3 linked regions of the Lonchura striata genome follow. The protein of the gene in region 1 purifies or fractionates together with the protein of each later gene. This does not show direct contact. Links are inferred from orthologs where the notes say so. Each region holds a gene or a part of one and is shown in the gene's direction. Other genes may lie near its edges.

Evidence for each region.
Region 2: the proteins of NDUFAF4 (region 1) and TIMMDC1 purify together in Homo sapiens (affinity purification with mass spectrometry; 3 studies listed by BioGRID and IntAct, with this or other methods). This does not show direct contact. The link is inferred for Lonchura striata from reciprocal best matches to the Homo sapiens genes NDUFAF4 and TIMMDC1.
Region 3: the proteins of NDUFAF4 (region 1) and NDUFS8 purify together in Homo sapiens (co-immunoprecipitation; 3 studies listed by BioGRID and IntAct, with this or other methods). This does not show direct contact. The link is inferred for Lonchura striata from reciprocal best matches to the Homo sapiens genes NDUFAF4 and NDUFS8.

What each region holds. Positions count from the first base shown.
Region 1 is NC_134605.1:75,118,467-75,125,772, forward strand, and holds the start of NDUFAF4 (NADH dehydrogenase [ubiquinone] 1 alpha subcomplex assembly factor 4), read left to right. Parts: upstream 1-4,291; 5' UTR 4,292-4,316; coding exon 4,317-4,443; intron 4,444-4,914; coding exon 4,915-5,012; intron 5,013-7,165; coding exon 7,166-7,306. UniProt on the Homo sapiens protein: Involved in the assembly of mitochondrial NADH:ubiquinone oxidoreductase complex (complex I). May be involved in cell proliferation and survival of hormone-dependent tumor cells. May be a regulator of breast tumor cell invasion.
Region 2 is NC_134604.1:14,297,131-14,304,718, forward strand, and holds the start of TIMMDC1 (complex I assembly factor TIMMDC1, mitochondrial), read left to right. Parts: upstream 1-4,572; 5' UTR 4,573-4,591; coding exon 4,592-4,683; intron 4,684-4,789; coding exon 4,790-4,955; intron 4,956-6,104; coding exon 6,105-6,193; intron 6,194-7,588. Other genes in the region: POGLUT1 (protein O-glucosyltransferase 1), read left to right, coding at 810-977, 1,490-1,546, 2,164-2,320.
Region 3 is NC_134608.1:52,535,075-52,541,440, forward strand, and holds NDUFS8 (NADH dehydrogenase [ubiquinone] iron-sulfur protein 8, mitochondrial), read left to right. Parts: upstream 1-4,076; 5' UTR 4,077-4,103; coding exon 4,104-4,161; exon of another isoform or gene 4,162-4,166; intron 4,167-4,733; coding exon 4,734-4,781; intron 4,782-4,863; coding exon 4,864-4,926; intron 4,927-5,011; coding exon 5,012-5,101; intron 5,102-5,182; coding exon 5,183-5,355; intron 5,356-5,422; coding exon 5,423-5,551; intron 5,552-5,636; coding exon 5,637-5,768; 3' UTR 5,769-5,850; downstream 5,851-6,366.

The sequences.
Region 1 (7,306 bases):
CCTCAAGTCAGTACAAAGGATGTTGTTTGTCTTGGGTGATGTTGGAGCACCAGCAAAGCTACCCCAAAGCCAGCCCAAGATGAGCCAGTCACCTCTCCACTCCATCCAGCCTCTTCCCATTGCTGGTTCACCTCCTCCTACTCACTGGAGCTGGCACAGTTCTTTCTGCCACTGCTGCAGAGAAACAATCTGGGAACAAAGTGCTAACTCTCACAAACCAACCAACCTGGCAGCAGTATCAGTTCACATTATTCACTCCTCCTGTCACATGCCTTTTTTTTTCCTCCTGTGTTTCCAGTAGCTTTCTGTGGACCAGCCAAACCATCGGTGATTGATAGAGCTTAGAAGAGTTAGGAGAGCTCTTCTCTTTCTTAAATCAGACCATCTGTGTGATGCTGTTTGCTCTGGGGATGTTCCTACATCCTGACACTGGCAAGAAGGATGAACTGAAACCAGAGTTACGAGAAATAATAGGGCTGTCAGTTGTCTCAACTAATATTGCAACTGAGAAGAGAACATGGGGTGCTGAAACCTGTGAGTAAAAATTCAGTAAAAAGGCATGTGTAACTGATGAAATTAATTAATTCCAGTATCAGGCTGCCTCATTCTCAAATATGCTGTCTCCTACTGTGCATTTCCAAGTCAAAGTAACCTGCTAATTGAGAAACAACATACAGGAAAAATATGGAAGATTATGTCAGGTATCAAGCCACAGTCCATCAGGAAAATTTAAATGCCATGTCTTTGAAATTAGTATTATCTGACAAGGAGCTGGTGATCTGTCTGGGCTGGTGTGTGAGTCTGTAACACTGAGCTTGCTGCACTTGCTATAAACTTCATCCACATAAGGACTTGACAAAAACTCCTTTAAATAAAGCACTGCAGCCACCTAGCCTTGAAAATATGCAAGTGTTCGGGAACATTGATCACAGACTGGAATTAAGCAAAATCCTTCAACGTAGATCCTTCTGTAGATACTTCAGAGGCCAGTAAAAGATGGATCAGTTGAAACCAATAATAGAGAAATAATCTGAATTAAGTAACAGAACAACCAAAAATCACTGAAAGGTGAAAGTGATCCATCAGTAAGTCCATCTCTCTTGAGTTCATCTTTACAAGGTTGCAGGACAGTCATTTTTACTTGGCTCATAATCAATTCTTGCTAATGCTGTGTTCTCTGGTTCTGCCTAACACTGATGAGGTAAGGAATAAAAGGATCAATGCTCTCATTGTGCTTACTGGTAAACCAGTAATCTGGATAGAGGACTCAGTTCCCTGAATCCTAATGATATAAGAATTTGCTCAAGTATCCATTTAGACTGACATCAATTATGAACAAACAACAACAGAAAGATGAGAATAGGAAAACAGTTTCAGTGGTAGAAAATGTGGACAGAATCAAATACAAACCTCTAATGCTGCTGTATAAAAGCATTCCTCATTTTCCTCTGTGGTTGACTGCTGTGCCATTCCCAGACCTCAAATCACAAAGCAAACCTCACCTGCCTCCTCTCCAAAATTCTCCAGCTGAGCAACTATTACCAAAAAATGGCTCTTATTTCACTGAAATTACCTGCCCATCTGGACTCATATTCTGATTCCTGATCTTTTGAGTAGTAAAGACAGCAAAGAAACTTTAGTAGTACCCACCCACACAGTAACACAAGTTAATGACAGGCTATTCTCCCTTCTCTAAAGCAAATTTTCAATAGGTCAATCAGACTTTTGATGCTAGTTAAATACAAAAATTAATTTTTCATTTTCCACTCAGTGATAGAACTAGCTGAGAAAGAAACAGTACACACAACACATAATCAAAATTGAGATGGAAAACAAATAGATTCAAAGAACAGTCACAAATGTACTTCTTACTTTCCAGGCACCCAGTAGCTTTAGAAATTTCTCTCTTAAGAGGTATGGAAGGATTACAAGGAGATCTAGTGTGGCAGCCTATGGCACACATATATCATGAGAGTTACAGTATTTTTCTCTGATGTGCTGTCCGGTGTTCAGAACAGGCTGCTACGAAAACTTTTTGAGAATACGTGTGTATGAATCCAGCTGGATAGTCTTCTCATGGGCTGTTTTGTTATTTTTGAATTCCCTGGAAAGACTCAGACTCCTTGTTCAAGAAAAATGCATCCCATTTGAAACTCTGTCTAAGATGAATACACATACATTCATTTTTTAATAATCACACTTGCAGATATCTATATGCTTTATATGGAAAACTATCCAACCTCTTGATTACTGATATTTAATATCAATATAGTCACATTGGTAAAATACCAAATTATATTAAAAATATTGTTTTCAATCTCTATTCTTCTGCTTGCTACAGTCTAAGAAACATTCTTCAGAATAAAAATCTTGAACTTTTGATGCATCTTTATACATGAAAAGAACAGCTTTGTGCTATCCTCAGTCGTAGGAAGTGACAGGCAGAGCATGACATCACTCTTTATTTTTAACTGACTGCTTTCTGGTGAATTTATTTTGCTGCCAGTACATATTACAGCAGTGTTAATCACATTCATGCTTTATCAAGACAGAAGCCCTGTGCTCTGTTTGGTTCTACAAGCTGGGAGTTCTTAGCTTTTGGAGGAGAAACTTTGTTTCAAATTTGCCACAATAGCTGATCCACAGATGGATCAGTAAGAATACAAATGCTAAAGTACCTGTGAAAGGTCTACAACTACCAAAGGCATCCACGGGGATTTTTGCATTACAGCCACACCACACAGATTCACCACTCACAAAAGTATCAAATCCTGGACTTAAGAACACAGGTTTAGTCAGCAAGTAATTGACTACAGATATTTAATTAAACTTGTCACCTGACTTCAGCAGATTTTAAGTTTCCAATTATCACTGTATCACTAGTCTCCTTAATTCATTCACATGCAATATCAAAAATAAGACAAGGTCAGTAAGCTTATTACCAGAGAACAAAAACATGTTTCTGTTCTCCTACAGACTGTGAGAATCTTTAAAATAAACAAATGGAGAAACTGCATCTTCCTGATTCCCAAAGAGAGCAGATATCCAGCATACACCACCATGTTTATCCTGCCTTGTTTCCACTGCCTTTCTAAATCAATTTGGCTTCTCTCTAAGGAAAACACAGCCATTCATTAATCCAGCATTAAAGCACACTGCAGCCTTGAAACTATCACATCATAATTATTATTACTAAACAATGCTATTAATAGAAGACCAAGTTCTGAACCCCAGGTTTTATATGCCCACAATAATAAGAAACACTAGGTAGATGAGGTAGATGCAAGGGCAGAAAAAAAGGTGTTTCCCACCAAAAAACAAACAAACAAAACATCCACCAAAAAAAAAAAAAACCACACACAAAAAGAAACCCCCAAAAACTACAAGAATGCTGGTCTTTTCAGTGTTCTTCATTAAATTCATTGAAAGTCCCACTTCAAGTCACTTCATTCAGGCAACTACTATCATGAACTAATTGGTGGCCCAGAAGGCACTAAGACTCTGCAAACAGCACATACAAAATTTAAAGCCATAAGGGAATTATTTGTTGGCTAATTCACACAGCAGCTGGAACAAACAAGTCATTAATCTCTCTTGGTAAGACACCTTATCAGTCGTGGCTGAATAAAGTAGTCAACCCTCAGGCTTTACTGCTTCTTGAATCAGGCCAGTAGCTCTTACTCTTTCTGCCTCCCTTTCTCTAAGGATTCTGTATATTTTCACACACTTCTTGAATCTATGAAATGACTCCCATCTCAACAATTTTGATTCTGTCGACAAATTTACCTTTCTTAACATACACGGCTTAAGGCCTTCTCAACATTTTGTCACAATTAGTTTTCACAATTTTTGCAAAGTCAGAAGAAAGTTTATTTGGTCGAGCTGCAAAAAGAGGGTCTGCACCCTGAAAGCGTTGTGTAGCCCACAAATTCCCAACACTACTGGGGAATTGTCCCTCGCTGCCGCTCCGACCCGTGCCTATCGCCGCCGATATACAAACAGCCACAGTCACGCCATGGCGTGTCCGGGGGCTCCGCCTGCAAAGGAAAGCGTGCGGCAGCCACAGCTCGCACTTCGCGAGCATTCCCGGCGGGAGCCGCCCGGGCCGGGCTCGGCTCACGCCCGCCTTTAGGAAAGGCACGGCAGGACCGCCGCCGCTTGTCTGTTCGCTCGCTTGTCTGTTCGCTCGTCTGTCTGTCTGCTCGCTTGTCTGCTCGCTTGTCTGTTCGTGTGCCCGCAGCACTCGGTTCATTCCCTTCCGGTGCACACCGCCCCTGCCCGGCGTGCCCCGCGCGCAGGCGCGGCTGGCGGCGGCGATGGGCGGGCGGGTGACCCGCGTGTTCCGGAATTTCAACGTGGAGAACCGGGCCCGCCGCGAGATCAGCAAGGAGAAGCCCACGGCAGCGCCGCGGCACCGCACCGCCCGGCTGGACGCCACGGCCGGTGAGTGCCGGCGGCGCCCGCCCGGTGCGGCGGCGCTGACATTGAGAGCGGCGCGGGCGCGCGGGGCATGCCGGGAGCGGGGCGGGGACGGCGGCAGCAGCGTGAGGGGCTGAGGGAGCGCCCGGGAGCGCTGGGGGACGGCAGCGGGGGCCGCTCGGTGGAGGTGGTTGAGGGGACGGGACCCGGGGGAAGTGGTGGGGCGGTGGGATGGCGGTACCGAGCGTGTGGGTGCCGTGTCCCGCCGTGCTGTGACCGGTGACCGGCCCAGCCGGACCGTGCGAAGCCGAGTCGCTAAGGTCAGGGCTGTGGGAGCAATGGCACCCTCCCAAGAAGGCAGGTGCGTTTGCGGGAGCCGTGCCGTGCCGCTGGGGAAGCGATGAGCTGGCAGAACTAACAAAAAGGAGACTCTTTCACTCAGATCAATCGTTTCTTCTTTTTTTCCTTCCCTTCCCTTCTTCTCACTGCCTTTAGATAGCCCAGAGATAAAAGAAGAAGTTCTCAGAAAGGACGATAGGTTCCTCACCTTGCTCAAAGATGTTTATGTCGAGTCCAGAGATCCACCGGTGCAGGTGAGTGCATCTCTCTACGACCCATACCAACATCAGCTTTGTGGTCTTCAAACTCAGCACAAAGGCTGTGTCAAGAAAAATGCTCTCTGTGCATAAAAGTTATCTTTTTTCAATAGATAAAAGTGGTATTTTTATTACTCTTCTATACATCAGTAACATTGAGTGTGTCTGACCCTGGGTTTTGAATGTGTGACAGATTGTAATTATACAAGCTTGTAAATGCAGACACAGTCTTCTTTTTTAGTATTGCGTTGATCTTACTGTTCTTCACCTAAATTCCTTTTTCTGCTTCCTATGAGGCAAGATACATCTCAAGCCTTTTGCAAAGATAAAGTAGTTTGCCAGAAATCATTTGTGGAGTTAGAAGAGACTGGGACTGCTAGGGAGCAGGGATGTGGTAGAGGACAAAGATGTTTACGCTTTAATGGAGTCTTTAACTCCTTTAAATATTGTACAGTGCAGAGACTTTTTTTTTTATCCAATTCATGAAGTGCCTTAGGTTTTTTTCCTACAATATCTTGTGGGTTGTGTGGTCATCATTTCCTTATTGCCACTGGCTGCAATCTTTTACTTTTACTTGAAAGCTAAAGCATATTCCTTCATAAAATGCAGACTGGGGCTCAGTGTCCTCTTTTCCATCATATTTTGCTATGGTTTGTGTATTTTAACTGTTTCATTATTGGACCACTTTATTCCAGCTGATTTATTCAGCAGTAAAATTTTTATGGTCATCTAGCAAAATTCCTAAGTCTCTCTAATTTGCCACTTATATGGTATTCAAGTCCAAAAATATTTAAAATGCAAATAGATTTTCTCAGTCTCTTCCTGAAATTTTCAAGAAATCTCTATCCTTAATTTCCATCACAGAGGTTAGGACTCTAATCTTGAAGTGCTGAAGTTCTAATTTCAGTATCTTTCAATATTCATGTATAAGCCTGTCAAGAGAGATTTGAGAAAAAGCCCAAAGTGGAGCAAATCTTTGCTTGATTCTATGCCTTCTCGGAGTTTACTGCCACAGACTTGCCATTGTGCTGTGTCTGCTTGCAGTTTTTAGAGCACAACTGAAGTGTAATCACAGAGACTTGTGGACAAAGCAATACAAAAGCTTTCTCCCATTCCTGATGTTATCCTGATGACTTTGTGCATTGTGTACGTGATGTGTACACACCTCTGTGTGTGTTTGGGGTGTCTGCCTATGGTAAGTGGAAAAACACCAGCTTGGGAGCCCTGAAGTGGCAGATTCCCAGAGACAGATGATCTTATTTAGAGTTGAAAAATCATTCATTATCCAAGCACAGTTTTAGCAAAAAGTAGAAGACATGGAGTGCAGGCCAGACATTCCTTGTAGCTCAGAAACAGACACACACAGGTGCTGTAATATCCACATCAGTCTTCTCAGCAACTGAGTTAATACGGAGTGTCTGTGTAATAATTAGTGGCTGTGGGCTCTGATTACTATATAAATACTTCTAAGTTTAAGAAAGGTTTAATTGTGCCTTTTTTTTTCAGTGTGATTCACTGATTAAATGTTACTTAAAGGAAATATGAGGAAGTGAAAGCTGTTTTGGAGATTATTTGGAAATATGAAGGAACCTTAGAGAAGACAGTTTGTGTGTCTACATGTTGCAGTAGTCATGGCAATTAAATTCCATATGATGCTGCAAAATAGCAGGAAAGCTTGTTCTCTAGACAGAGCAAAAGAAGGAATTTCTTTTAGTAGGAAAACTAAAATTTGGAAACAAAAGGAAAGGGAGAGAGACTACATGAAAAAGTTTTCCAGTGGTATCAGAAGGATACCAATTTGTTGTATGATTTTTTTGTCCCTTCCAGTGAATCAGTAGCGAATATTAGGCTATCTGGATTTACATTTGCCTACCAGAATCTGTAGTCTGCCTTGCATAAAGGGCTGCCAAGCCAATACAACGCTTAGAGTGCAGTGAAGAGAGGCTTTTCAGCATTTAGTTGGGAGTTGACACTCTATGTGGAATGGCTGTGAAAGAAGCTAGGCAGGCTAATCTGTTTTTAAAAAAATAGGGAAAGCTAACAGGAAAAGCTAAACAGAAAAAATATTTACGAAAGCAGTTTAGGTGCTACAGTATGCATAGTAAACAGAACTGCTGTTGAGCTCTTTTTGTTTTCCTTCCCTCGATTAGGTAAAAGATGGAGGTGGTGAACATCTTCCAAGTAAACAGGAAGAAAAGAGACTGACAAAATTAGGCCACTTGGAAGGTCTAGATGTTAAGAAAGTTCCTAAAGGCAAAATTTCCCTTGTGGAGGCTCTGACACTTCTTAAT
Region 2 (7,588 bases), on another chromosome or scaffold:
TCCCCCGGCTCAAAATGTTTAACTTCAAAGATCAGTATATGTTCTGGGGAGGTTTACCCGTAGGAAAAACAGCTTTCTATATAATAGAAGAAATGTGGGTTTGATCAAGAAAACAAGTAAGCAAAGAAACATCCCTATGAGATACAGTTTGCTAAGAGAAATACCCCCTTGCCACAGTCAAGCCCACTTTTCTAACTTGGCAGAAAATACTGAAAACAAACTTTTGGATTCTTCGTTATCTGCAAAGTCCATCTGTTGTATGCTGGCCCATTTAACCTCCTATGGTTGCATTCCCAAGTTACTATGAAACAATTACATTCAGATTAAAGCAGAATCCCAGAGGAAAAAATAACCTGAGATAGATGTGGCAAAGCACAATGATGAACAGAAAAACTTCACTGAAAGGCAAGAGAGAATTGGAAAGAATTTCCTTGTGGTTGATAAAGCCTCTGAGTGACCCCATAGGGTCACGGAATCCATATTGTGATCTTCCATGCTTTGCTGGCAATTGTCCACAAGGCCTCATTGGTTTGTCACAGACAGTGCCTTTATCAGAGGTAAAGCCTCACACCTTGAATTTCTCAGTGAGTTTTGACAGCAGAAACTCACCCAGCACACCCTTAACTTCAGCTCACCTTTCCTGTGAGCAGCTTCAAATAAATGCCTTTCCTCTGTTTTAGTGACTGGTGTGCTGCTCAGCTGCTGCCTGTCAGGGAAGGTTCACCGCTCCTTGGAGACCAGCACACCTTAGTGCATTTCCTCACACAGGATGTGTGATCAGGTCCCTCTCTTTGCTCTTCCTTTCAAAGGTACCTGTTTAATTTCCGGGGAGTGGCGGCCAGTTTCCGCTTGAAGCACCTTTTCCTGTGCGGCTCACTCGTCTTCCATGTCGGAGAGGAGTGGTTGGAGTTCTTCTACCCCCAGCTGAAGCCTTGGCTCCACTACATCCCGGTGCGGTCAGACCTCTCTGACGTCAGGTGTGGGGCCTGAGGCCACTGCATGGAGCATTGCATACCATGGGGAAGCCTTTGGGAAGGTGGGATGGTTTGTGTTAGGCCATGAAGTGCCTCCACTCTGAGGCATCAGGCAAAGATTTTTGGAGGTCATGGTCTTTTCATCACTACCCCCAGAGAATCCTTTGCTGATTTGGGGAGTGCAGTTACACTGGAGTAAGATTCTCACTCTCACTGAAATCAGCAGGCACTAGACACTTAAATTTGCAAGTGGGCAACAGTGATAAGGGGGGAGAAGAACTTAACCAGTGGGCCAAAAATGTGTTAGCTCCCAGATTTCAGGAAGTTGTCCAGAAGTGATGTGAAACAATCAAGCAGAGAAGTTGCTTCTGTGCTGAGGTGAGCAGCTCTTTCACTCACTTGTAGACTCTTAACCTCACCCTCCCCAACAATTTAGCTAAGGGATTATGTTCTCCACTGAGCCAGTTGTTTCATAGCTTTTTTTTTTTTTTTCTGTGTATGTGTCTTCATTTTAGGGAGCTCTTGCAGTTTGTAAAGGAAAACGATGCCATAGCACAAGAAATTTCAGAGAGGTAAGCAGTATGTGCTTCCTGGCTATTAGGCAGTCTTCTTCTAAAACATTGTCTTACACTGCTTTTGAAGGGGTTGCCCATCAAAGACAACCAGTATTAGTAGGGTGCAGTATAACTGATCTTCTGCAATAAGAGTAGGAGGGCTGGAGCAGTGATAGCAAGCAGAGGGAAGCAGAGAGCAGGATGCTGTGCTTAGCTCTTCAGTTCACATGTGACCCATGTCAGGAACCCCATGGAAAGCTGGCAGAGGTTGGGAGCTTTCATCTCAGTATGACACAAGCTGGCTCCTGGGAGCTGTGTCTGCGCTGTAAACATTATCTATCCAGGCTGCTCTGAAGCAGCATGCATCAGGGCTGCTCTAGTTGCATGTGATAAGTGGAATCTGATATTTATTATCCCAGATAGCAAATACCGTCCTGAGGATAGCAAAAGCACTGCAGCCGTCAGAGCTGTGAGCATGAATGAAAATTGTAAAATTAAAACAGACAGTACAGAGCAGTGTGTGTTGTTTCTCATTTGAAACAAGGAAATGCGAAAGTTGATATACATCCAAACCAAAACTAATGACTCTTGTAGGAACTGGAAAACAGTCCTGACTGTGACTTGTGTGTCTCTAGGGGACGTCAGTTCATCACTGAGCACTTGGAGATGGAGGACATCTCTTGCTACTGGGAGCATCTGCTGTCTGAATATTCCCAGATCTTGACTTACAAAGTGAAAAGGAGGAAAAGCTACAGCGAGATCACTTCTGGACAGCTGAAAACAGAACTGTAGAGACTTCTCTGTTTTTCTCTCTGGCTCAAACTGGTCACTGTGGAAATCTGAAGATCAGTATTATTTCTTGCTCTCTCAGACTTACCTTTCACAGTAGAACTGCACTGGGACCTGGTTATATTGTCACCTCAAGAATGTTAAGCAGCATATTGGATTAAGACTAATGGGGTGGTCAGTCATGCCTAGAGGAGGGATGTTAGCATTTAGGACTTAGTTACTACCTGTCTCAAAATGATCCTAAATCCCATTCAGTCGATGAGAAGCCTTAGTGGACTTATTACCAAAGGTCATGGCAAAGGACACAGGCTGAGCTGCACTCAGCTAGTAAATACTTGCCCCTTTGTTTGGCAAATGTTTTCTCAGCTGGGTGATAGCACTTGGGGTATTAGGTGTTCTCTGACAAACGCAGGTACTGGGATTTGGGGCTATATAACTTTCTGGGTAGCTTAGGGTTTATGTTGGGTTTTAGAGGTCGATGGTAAGGTTTTGACATGCCCTTGGAGGATAACTGATCCTTGCAGAGTTACCCTACCTACCTCACAGGGGATCAGCATACGGTGGTGATGGGGCCATCACCAGTGATGTGCTTGGCAACTGAGACAGAGATTCTTCCTCCAGCAGATGAGCTGGGTGCCTGCACAGCCCTGCACAACTGAGCCCCTGTTAATTATCTCTCACCAGCTGCCTGGCCAGACATCCTGGGATGTCATCCTTAGGAACCCAGAGAAAGTATTCACTGAGGTAGATTCAGCACTTCCTTTTTCCAGAAGTGCAGAGTCTGCTCTGATCCCCTTCTGTAATCTTTCCAGGATTATTTTAAGTGTTTGTTTTTTTTTTTTTGGTTTGGTTTTTTTTTTTTGTTTTTGTTTTTTTTTTGGGGGGGGGGTGGCCTTTTTTTTTTTGAGACTGGTAATACATCTGCTCACTTTACTACTTGCTTTTCTTCCCCACATCTGTGCCACTTCTTTTTTCATCTCCTTCAGCCTGGTTGAGGGAATGTCTTCAGTCACACAGTAGCAGCTACTGCTCACATTACCCATTTTGAGTTGCTCACAGGCTGATTGTGCTCGCTGTGTTTATGCCCACCACAGCCTCTTGGCTAAGGACTGCAATTCCTGAAATGCTCTGTGCCCCCTAAGATAAGAGGCTGGAGGCAGCAGCATCTTCTCTGGCACCCAGACAGGAAGAGTGTGGGGTGCCAGGAGGGACACAGGAGCCTCCCAGGGGAGCCTCCTTGTTGGTAAAGCAGCCTCAAGGCTGAGAGAGCAGCACATTATAATGGAAGAGGATGATAGCAACAGCTCTCAGGCCCTCTGCAGTCAGTGTGTATCAGGGAAGAAGGAAATTGCATGGAACAATAACATTTAATGTGTGCCCTCGCAGAGGCCTTGCAGCCCTGGCACAGGGACATAGCAGCTGCACTATTGATCAAGTGCTGGTTGCTGGGGCAGTGTGTTGGTTTTGGGACCAGTGCTGGGGTTATTTCATCCAGCAAAGGAAACAGAATGGGGCATTAACCTGGTTTCCCAGGAAAGTTGTGCCAGAGTGGAAGGGGTTTTCTGGTTTTCTATTTTTAGCCAACAGAGAGACAGCACTCCAAGAAACCGAACATCTCTGTATGATATTTTAAAACCATTTGTAATGAAGGGCTTTTTGGAATAAAACAAAAAATGAAGTTTTGTTGGATGCATTTTCTTCATCAGAAGAGTGATAGGAGGTCTGCAGAGCCCCAGCTTTTCCACCCATAGATCTTGCGATGACACTTGATTGTTGCAGCTTAGGTGGCCCTTGGCCAAAGTGATGATTCTTCAGGAGTGGGGGAAGAATCCCGGGAATTCAAGAATCATGGGTTAAAATATGCACAAGCCCGGTGGGAAGGCCCAGGCACCTCTCCTGGTGGGGAGCTTTCACTTCTTTGGTGAAAGGAAGAATTCACAACAGAGGTGTTTCAGGAAAGGCAGTGAGCCCCATGAGTGGCGCCATCTCTCCACGCAGGCTTTGCCCGGGGGTTGCTCCCCCTCTGTCCTATGCAAACCGGGCACCACAGCCCCCAGAACTCAGCTCCTCTCTCGCTGTGGGGAACAAACCCGGCCCTGCACAAAGGGGCAAACACTCGGAGTTGTTCATCAGTGACTAACGCAGAGCCGAGCCGTTCCGAGCGGTCCCGAGCTGTTCCGAGCCGTTCCGAGCGGTTCCGAGCGGTCCCGAGCCGTCCTCGCAGTGCCCCGCCGGGGCGCAGGGGGCGCTGCCGCCGCCGCCGCGGGCTCGGCCATGGCGGATCTGCCCGGAGCCCGGGCGGGCTTCGGCCCCGCGCCGCTGCCGCAGACGGGCTGGGAGCGGCTCCGCGAGCTCTGGCGGCGAGAGTGAGCGCCGGGCCGGGCTCGGGCGGGACGGGGCGGGACGGGCGGGGCTGGGTGGTGGCGGTCCCGCCGTGCCCACCCCGCGCCCATCGCCGCCCTTGCCTTGCAGCGAGCGGCAGCAGTTGCCGGAGGAGACGGTGAACATCGCCAAGGCGGCGTTCACGGCGGGCGTGGTGGGCTGGCTGTACGGGGGGCTGCCCGCCTTCGTCAGCGCCCGCAAGGCCTTCATCGAGAGCAGCCACGGCGAGATGTTCCAGAACCGCGCCGATGCCGTGGTACGGGCCCGGGGCTGCGGCCGGGGCGCACGGCGGTGCCGGGCTCGGGCGGGGCCGGGGCCGGGCTCGGGCCGGGGGGACGCGTGTGCGGGTCTGGCACAGAAAGTTTGCTGGGAGTGTGTGAGTCCGTGCAGGTCATCCGCTGCGGGAATTAGCAGGAATTAGGGTTCCCCGTTAGCCAAATTGCAAATTAGCTTCAGAAAAGCGTCGTTCATCACAGGGAAGGTTGGTAACAAAGTTTACCATTCTCTTAAGTGGCTGATTAATACGTCTCGAAATGGCTTTCTGCTTTTGCGTTTTAGTCTGCTGACAGGAGACTTCACAGTATCAAACTGGGATTGTACTCTTGTCTTATTAATGTGAGTCATTTTTAGACCATTTAAAATTCTTTTAGAAGAACAGCACAACAAAGAACACTTGTGACATTTTGTAGATGTATTTGAACTTCTAGGTGTTTGTTATTCAATTAAAGTGTTGGTTACGTGGAATATGAGGAAGAAAACCTTTTTAAAAATCTGCCTGATGTTAATTTTGTATTACTTACAAAATTTGGCCTCTGATGTGGTGACCTGCAAATTGCCACTGCCTGGCTCCGCTCTGGTGACTGGTATATCTGACCCAGGCTAAGAACCTACACCACAAACACTGGAAGAGAAAATTTATTTACTTTCATGGTATTCAGTGCAACATTTTTAAATTTTATGAAGCCTCTGTTTACCACTTATTTTAAAAAAAACTCTTCTTTCCAAACTTTTAAGTGCCAGTGTTAAACTGCAGAGCTTGATGATACCTTAATATTTAACGCAGATGGTTATTATTTACTTACTACTATTGTAGAAACTACTTTCTATATGAAGTAGTTTCTAGTTTTTCTCTTTCTCCTCTGCTGCTGTCCTGTCCTTGAAGAGCCCTCCCAGTCCACCCAGACGTGTTTCAGCAGCAGGATTAGAAAGACCAGTTGACATTCCAAACTGGAACTGATTCTTGGTTTTCCCGTTGGTGGCTGGGAGCAGCTTTTCCTCCAAAGGTGGCTGACTTGATCGGAGCTGGGGTACCAGCGGCAGGAGACATTGGTCCCCTGGGCTGGCCTGCAGGGTGCTGGCAGGAGGAGGGGCTGTTAGCTGTGACATGTCCTCTCTGTCCCCTCAGCAATCTGCACACCGCGCTGGTCTCCGCAGCTTCATCCGCTACGGCTGGCGCTGGAGCTGGAGGGTCGCGGCTTTCGCCACCATGTTCAAGTGAGTGTTCCCTGATGTGGGGCAGCAGAGCTGCCCTGTGCTGGTGCTTGTCCTTGTCCTTGTCCTTGTCCCTGCCAGCAGTGCCCACAGCTCTGGCCTTTGATTGAGGCTCCTGCTGTTACCTTGACCTGAGTCTGGTTGATCAGGCAGGAGCATGAAGAGAGTTTAACCTTTTAGAATTGCCTCAGAATTCTCATCTTCTAATGAATCAACACAAATCTGAAATGTGGAAAAGCCCTTTTTGTACATCTGTTACTGAGTTGCATGCTTTTCTTTCTTGACAGCTGCTTTCTGCTTTTCCTTCATCTCTTTATGTGCTTTTAATCTGAGGGAGTGTTAAAGTGTGTTGGCAGTTTTTGGAAGTGCTTTCTAACCCACACTGATTTTTGTCCTTCCTACAATGTCTCATTGCTCCTGGTTTGTATACGCTGGTGGTACTCACAATTGTCACTACTACTACTTTGTATACACTGGTGTTACAATTCTTTGTTCTTGTCCTCAGGCATTTGCAGGGGATTGTCTTGTTCTTGAGCAGTTGCTGAATATCAGATCTACTGCTTCTATGTACCTGTTAGGCCTTCAGGATTTTTCTACACACACAAAGCCAATGCAGAGAGTGTTCTGCTTCCCTGATTTTCTTCCTTGGATGTTGCAGTGCATTTCTGGCAGTAGAACATCAAACTAAGTGTCGTCTTCTGAGCAAAGCCCTTTTAAACTAGAAATATCTCCTTCCCTGTTGTTCAGACTACTAAATTTGTAAATTTAAACCTGCATTGACTCTCTCTGCAGATATGTTCTGTTTAAGTTCTCCTTCTGCTTTTAAGATCCCACAATATTGACTGGCATGATTTTATATTTCTATCTCCCTAATTTTTTTTTGTTCCTTTCTGAATTTCTTCCTCACTGTCTCTTGATGTCTGTGGCTCCTTTTAGTTTAGTATCTGTTTTTAGGCTTAGTTAGTGTGCTGTTTGCTTTCTCTCCTGGAGCTCTTGATTTCTTTGGGTTTTCTGGATTTCTTTGGGTTTGACATGTTACCTTGTTGTCTTCCACCAGGTGTCTCCTCTGCAGTCAGATCAGCCCCTTTGGAAAGGTTCTGAACAAAGCTATTTGCTGCTCAGCATCATTTCTGTAAAGCCCAAGTTGCAAATTCCATCCTGCAGTTGTGAAAACTTTAAGTTTCACAATTAAAACCCAAAATGTTTGGGTTTATCTGTGTTGGGAAGGAGAGGAGGATTGCTGCTGGCTTGTCAATGTCACACAGGAGGCTGGGGAGTATGTGGCTGCTGAACTGAGAGCAGACTGTTTTGAGGCTTAGCTGATGTTTAGGAGGAGTTGGTTTACCTACCCCAGAGGGAAATCTGATGCCACAAGAGTAGGTGACCCTGCTGATGTCA
Region 3 (6,366 bases), on another chromosome or scaffold:
AGGGTGGGACCTGATGTGGAGGGTGTCCCACAGGTGATGCAGTGGACTCTTGCCTTCATCAGCAAGGATCCCTATGGGGTGGTGCTCATCATAGCACCCTGGAATTATCCCATCTAACTCTTCCTGGTGCCTCTCATCAGGGCCATTGCTGCTGGTGAGCCCAAATTTCCAGCTCCCTGGCCTGGAGGATCCCAGCAGTGCCAAGCAGAGGTAAGAGCACTTCGTCCACAGAAGGGCTGGCTGTCACCATGTCGCAGCTCCACGATCCTGTCTTCCCCAGGGAACTGTGTCATTGTCAAACCCTCTGAGGTGTCCAAGAAGACAGAAAGTCTCGTGGAAGAACTGCTGCCCAGCTACCTGGACAAGGTGGGACAATCTCCAATCCCTGTGGCATGACTGGGGCAGAGCTGTGCTCTGTGCCTGCCTCACATACCATCTCCAGCTTCACGTACTGCCCTGCTCCCTTACTCCATGCCCAGCCAGTGTCCCAGCCTCCCAGGATGCTATTGGTGGGGACAGATGGTGACAAGAGGGAGCCTTTCTCATTTCCTTGCAAGACTGCTTTGCTGTGGTGACTGGTGGTGTGCAGGAGACCACCAGGCTGCTGGAGGACAACTTTGACTGCATCTTCTTCACTGGTACGTCCCATGGGACAGAGCGGAGCCCTGCCTGGATTTTGTGTGAGGAGGAAGATGGGTTCCCTCCAGACATCCCTGCTAAGAAGGCAGGGATTGGGTTGGAGATGAGTGCCAGGATCTGTTGGAGGATCTGGGATGTGTATCTGAGATCTGGTGGGACCCAGTGCCACATCCCAGAGCCATGCGATGGCTGGTGGGATTCCCACCTCAATCCATGTTTTCCCTGCCCACAGGCAGCTCCCCAGTGGGGCGGATCGTGATGGCAGCTGCTGCCAAGCACCTGACACCAGTGACACTGGAGCTGGGGGGCAAGAACCCCTGCTATGTGTCTGACACCTGTGATGTGACCAACGTGGCGCGGCGCGTGGTCTGGGGCCGCTTCTTCAACGCAGGGCAGACCTGCATCGCGCCCGACTACCTGCTCTGCACCATAGAGATGCAGGAGAAGCTGCTCCCAGCCCTGCATGAGGCCATCAATGATTTCTGTGGCCCTAACCCCCGAGAATCCCTGGATTTTGGCCGCACTGTGTGGGACAGGCAGTTCCAGTGAGTGCAGAGTGCTGTGCAGTGGGCGTGTGGCCATTGGGGGACAGACAGATGAGGCCGAGCGCTACATCAGTGAGGCTTGGGGGTCACTCACCTCTTCATCCTTGCACAAAGCATATTTTGGGTTTTGAGAAGATTATAATGGGAAGTGGGTGCTTGGCCATGTGGCCTGTCGTACAGGAGGTGTGTCCTGGGGGGATGATGAAGGTGCCATCTCTGACCTTTGTGCCTGGCTGATGCTGTTGGGTTTCCTCTCCGCAGCTCCCACGGTGCTGGCAGATGTGCTGCCCTTGCACCCTGCCATGCAGGAGGAGATCTTCCTGCCCATTGTTGTCATTGCCAACATGGATGAAGCTCTTGGCTGTCTATGCCTTCTCCTTGGATGACAAGGTAGAGCCAAGCCAGGACTACACCTGCCCTGTGCTCCTTGGCAGCTGTATCCAGCCATGTTTGTGCTCCAGGTGTTTCCCTTACATCACACAGACCTAGTTAGGGGGTATGGATTGTGTTTGGAAGGAGAGGAATGGCGTGGGAGACCCATGTCCCATCTTCTTTGTGTCATTCCCAGGTGGTGAACCAGGTCCTGGAACAGACGAGCACTGGTGGCTTCTGTGGCAACGACAGCCTGATGCATGTGACACTGCCTTCACTGCCCTTCAGAAGCATTGGTAGGTCCAAAATCCCCAATCCTGGCCATTGGGAGCCAGGAGTGATCCCACCCATGGTGAGGAAGGGTCCCAGTAGGAACTTTCAGCTCCAGAGGGCTCGGTAATCCATAGGGAAATTCTCCTCCAGAAGCCCTTTGCTTCACCTTGGGCTCTTGGGCTTTGCTGGACATCTCTGGAGCACCCTGAGTTACTTTCTCTCCATATTCCCCATCCCAAGTTCTGTGTTTTCTGCATCCACAGAAATGTCTTGCTTAAAGCACAGGGAATCAGGGCTTGAAGCAATCTGGTCTAGTGGAAGTTGCTCCTGCCCATTGCAGGGGGGTGGAACCAGATAATCTCTAAGGTCCTTTCCAAGCTAAACTACTCTGGCATTCCATGATAGAATCACCTGCTTTTTATGGGATGATGTCCACTACCAGCTCCCATTTTTCACTCCTGTTCTCCACCTTTTATCCTCTCCTCCCTCTCAGCTGGCCAGGAGGCATCAGTGACCTCCCTTTATCCTGGGGCTGCTGATGTTTGAGGAACTGAACCCAAGGCATCACCCCAACCACAATTAGCATTTTATCAGGAAGACTGACTGGCTCAGGCTGACTCATGGAATTTTATCCCATCTGTTATCAAATGATGTGTGGATTTTGGTTTTTTTTGCCAGCCTGCCTGGCTTTCCTGTGCTTGTTCATGCCAGCCACCTTCCACTTCCCAACATTCATCCTTGGGGCTGGTCCCACCTCACCAAAGGCACCTTGGTTATTGTGCCGGTCCACCCCTGCAGTCTTGTCTCCTTGCAGCAGGGCTGGATCCAGCATGGATGGGATGTCTTTTTGAGGGTATTCCTGTGGGAGACAAGCTCATCTGCTGGGAGCCATGACCTCATCAGTGACACTCTTCCAGTTGCTAATTATGTTAATTGAAATGGTAAGATCCACTGACAAGAGAGTTTTTGGGAATTTCTCCACCTTCCAGCCTAATCTTCCTACTCCAGACATCCACTTGGGTTTGCACTAGGTCACCTCCGTGGTCCTCTTCCTAACAGAAGCTCATCCATGGCTTGGAAAGCAGCTGGATGAGGCATGGTGCTGCTTTTGCAGAGCTGGGAGCTTAATTTTGAGTTCTTTGACCCAAAGAATGGCCATATCCAGCTAGGGTCCTGTGCTGTGTATTCCAGGGAACAGCAACCTGGGAATGCACCTGGGGAAGTTCAGCTTTGACACCTTCTCCTGCCACTGTGGGTGCCTGAAGTGTGGGATGGGCTGGGAATCCCTCAATGCCCTGTGCCATCCCCCGTACAGCCAGCAGAAATTTGGGGTCACCCGGGCCACTTCCAAGGTGACATGTAAGAATTACTGTGCCCTGCTCTGAGGGTCTCCACATGCCCACTCAGGACATCTCTTGCTGCTGGTCCCCCACATTTCCCTCCATCCCAGTCCCATATTCCTCTTTTCTGGCTGTTTGGAGCTTTATTACCACTGGTACCACCAGAGCAGAGGGGTTTACTGTGCCCCTCGTTGCGTGAGAAGGTCCACAACACCCTGATCCCAAATCCTTGAGCTGGAATGATCTTGGTTTCTCCTGCTCTATGACCCCAGTTTCCTTTGCCCCATGATCTCAGTGTCCTTTGCCCCATGATCCCAGTTTCCTTCACTCCATGCTGCTCCATTTTGGGGGGCTGGTTGTGCCGGTGAAGGGATATCCGTTCCTGCTAGGCTGTGGGTTGTCCTGGCTGAATCCCACGGGGATCCCCCTGGGTGGGGGGATGGAGATAACTGGTGGAGGGAGCTGAGATAAAGACAGTTTAATAGGGAAGTGGAAACATCACCGGTGCCCGCCTCCATGGACTGTGCCGGGGATGAGGAGTCGGTGCCAACGCTGAGCCCGCCAGAGACGGAGCCGGGCTTTGTACTGAATCCAAGTGTCTGATCCGCTTCACCTTCGAGACCTCCTGGAACCTGTGGCCCGAACTGCTCCAGAAACCGGAGGGAAAGCTCCGGATCTCGGGAAGCCCTGGTAGAGCGGGACGCTCCGCGCCGGCACCGTAACCACGCGTTGCCACCGTGAACACGCGCTTCCGCTTCCGCCCGCCCTTCGGACACGCCCCCTCCTCCCGCCCCGCCAATCGGCACGCAGCATGGCCACGCTCTGCCCAATCACTGACGCTTTCCCTCTTTCTTCCCGCCCCGTGCGGCACTCCCACCAATGAGAAGGAAGTCCGCAGCCGTTCGCCCCGCCCACGACGCACCGCCCCACGCGCATGCGCAGTGGCCGCGGGGGCGAGCAGGGGTCAGGACGGCGGAGGGCGCTCGGGGCCGGTGAGGTGGGAAAGGGGCCCGGGGGAGCTTGGGGGGCCCGGGGCCGTGGGTCTCCCGGTGGCGTGTAGTGGCCGCCCAAATCCTGCGTGGGGCAGAGGGAGGGAGCCGGACACTGCGCTAGCCTCCGCCCCCATCCTCTCTGAAGGGACACGCAGAGGCTTAGCGGGACTTTGGGGTGACAGGAGAGGACGGCACACCTGGGTGCCCCTGGGAGGTGGGCGTGGGGGAGCAGGATGGTCCCTTGGGGGAACAGCTGAGTCCCTTTTAGGGGGTGGACCAGATACCCGAATCTCCTGGGGGATACACTTGGGTCTCTTAAGAGGGAGCTGCAAGGAGGGGTAGGATGTCTGGGTGCCTTGAGAGGGGTTGGCAGAGGAAACGGGATACTTAGTTCCCTAGGGGGAAGCATTTGTGGTCCCTTATGGGGTGCCAGGACAGGGGTGCCTGGGGGTCCGGGTCTCTTTAGGTGGAGGGGTGGGAATCAGGGTGCCAGTGTCCCCCGTGGGAAGTGGGGGAGCCCTGGCTGCCCCAGTCCCTTACTGTTAGTTGCTGAGGTTCTCTCTGCACCCCAGGACTGGCCATGGCAGCGCTGCGACTGCTGTACCAGGCTGCCCGTACAGGTGAGGCTGCCCAGGAATCCCCAGACCTCCTGAACCCCTCAAACCCCATTGTGACCCTACTGACCCTCCTGTCCCTCCCCAGGCCCCCTGGCCCCACGTGGCTCCCTGCGCCCACTCAGCACCAGCACCCCCAGGGACTGTTACAGTGAGTACAGCCGTGCCACCCCTGTGGGGGCTCAGCTCCCAGCCCAGGGCTCTGCAGGGTGAGCACAGCTCCCCTCTTCCCGCAGAGTATGTCAACATCCGGGAGCCAGCCATGGACATGCGATCCATCACTGACCGCGCTGCCCAGACCCTGCTCTGGACCGAGCTCGTCCGAGGTGAGACCCTGCTCACTCTCCTCATTTGTGGGGTGACATCCCCTCCCCAAATATGTCATAACTCCTGTTTCTCCCTCACAGGCCTGGCCATGACCCTGAGCTACCTTTTCCGTGAGCCGGCCACCATCAATTACCCGTTTGAGAAGGGCCCGCTGAGCCCACGGTTCCGCGGGGAGCACGCGCTGCGCCGGTACCCGTCCGGGGAGGAGCGCTGCATCGCCTGCAAGCTCTGCGAGGCCGTGTGCCCAGCACAGGTGAGACTTCCTCCCCCTCCTCCTCCTCCTCACCCGGGGCTCCAGCCGTGACGTGTCCCTGCGCCAGGCCATCACCATCGAGGCCGAGCCCCGCGCCGACGGCAGCCGCCGCACCACCCGCTACGACATCGACATGACCAAGTGCATCTACTGCGGGTTCTGCCAGGAGGCCTGTCCTGTGGATGCCATCGTGGAGGTGAGTGGGGCCTGCAGGGGGGACTGCAGGGACTCCCTTGTCCCACCACGGTGACTCCAAGGATGACCCCATCCCATCCTGGCAGGGTCCCAACTTTGAGTTCTCGACGGAGACGCACGAGGAGTTGCTCTACAATAAGGAGAAGCTGCTCAACAACGGCGACAAGTGGGAGGCTGAGATCGCGGCCAACATCCAGGCTGATTACCTGTACCGGTGATGGCCCCCACCCGTCCCCCAAATAAAGCATTTGGGAGTTCAGCCCCTCTGTTGGCACTGTGGGTGCCAGCCCCTTCCCATAACTCCGTGTCTGTTCTTTTCCAGCGCTGGGGTCAGACCCCCCTAACCCTCAGGGGGATCCCACCCCTGGGTGTGTGGTTGTGTTTTGGGTTGTCCTTCAGATCCTGGGGGTGCTGGCACCAGTGTTGGGATAGGGGGTGGGCTGCAGGGAAAAGTGTGGGAGGTGGAGGGGGGCAGGCAAGGATGGAGGAGCAGTGCTGGTGGGATTTAGGAATCTGGGAGGGTCATTTCCAGCTTCTGAGGCAGCCAGGTTGGGGGGGCCCTGGTGATCCTGTTCACAGTGGTACTGGTGTGAGGGTCCCAGTGATGCCTGTGATCCAGGTGATCCCAGCAGAGGGTCCTGATGGTACCAGTGGGGGAGCCTCTAGTGGTATTGGTATGGGTGTCCCGGTGATGCTGGTGTGTGGGTACCAGCGTGTGGTGCCTGTGGTCTCACAGTGGTACCATCGTGGGGGGCCCAGTGATCCCAGCAGGGAGATCCCAGTGCTACCAGTTGTTAGGAGCTGTCCCTCAAAGGT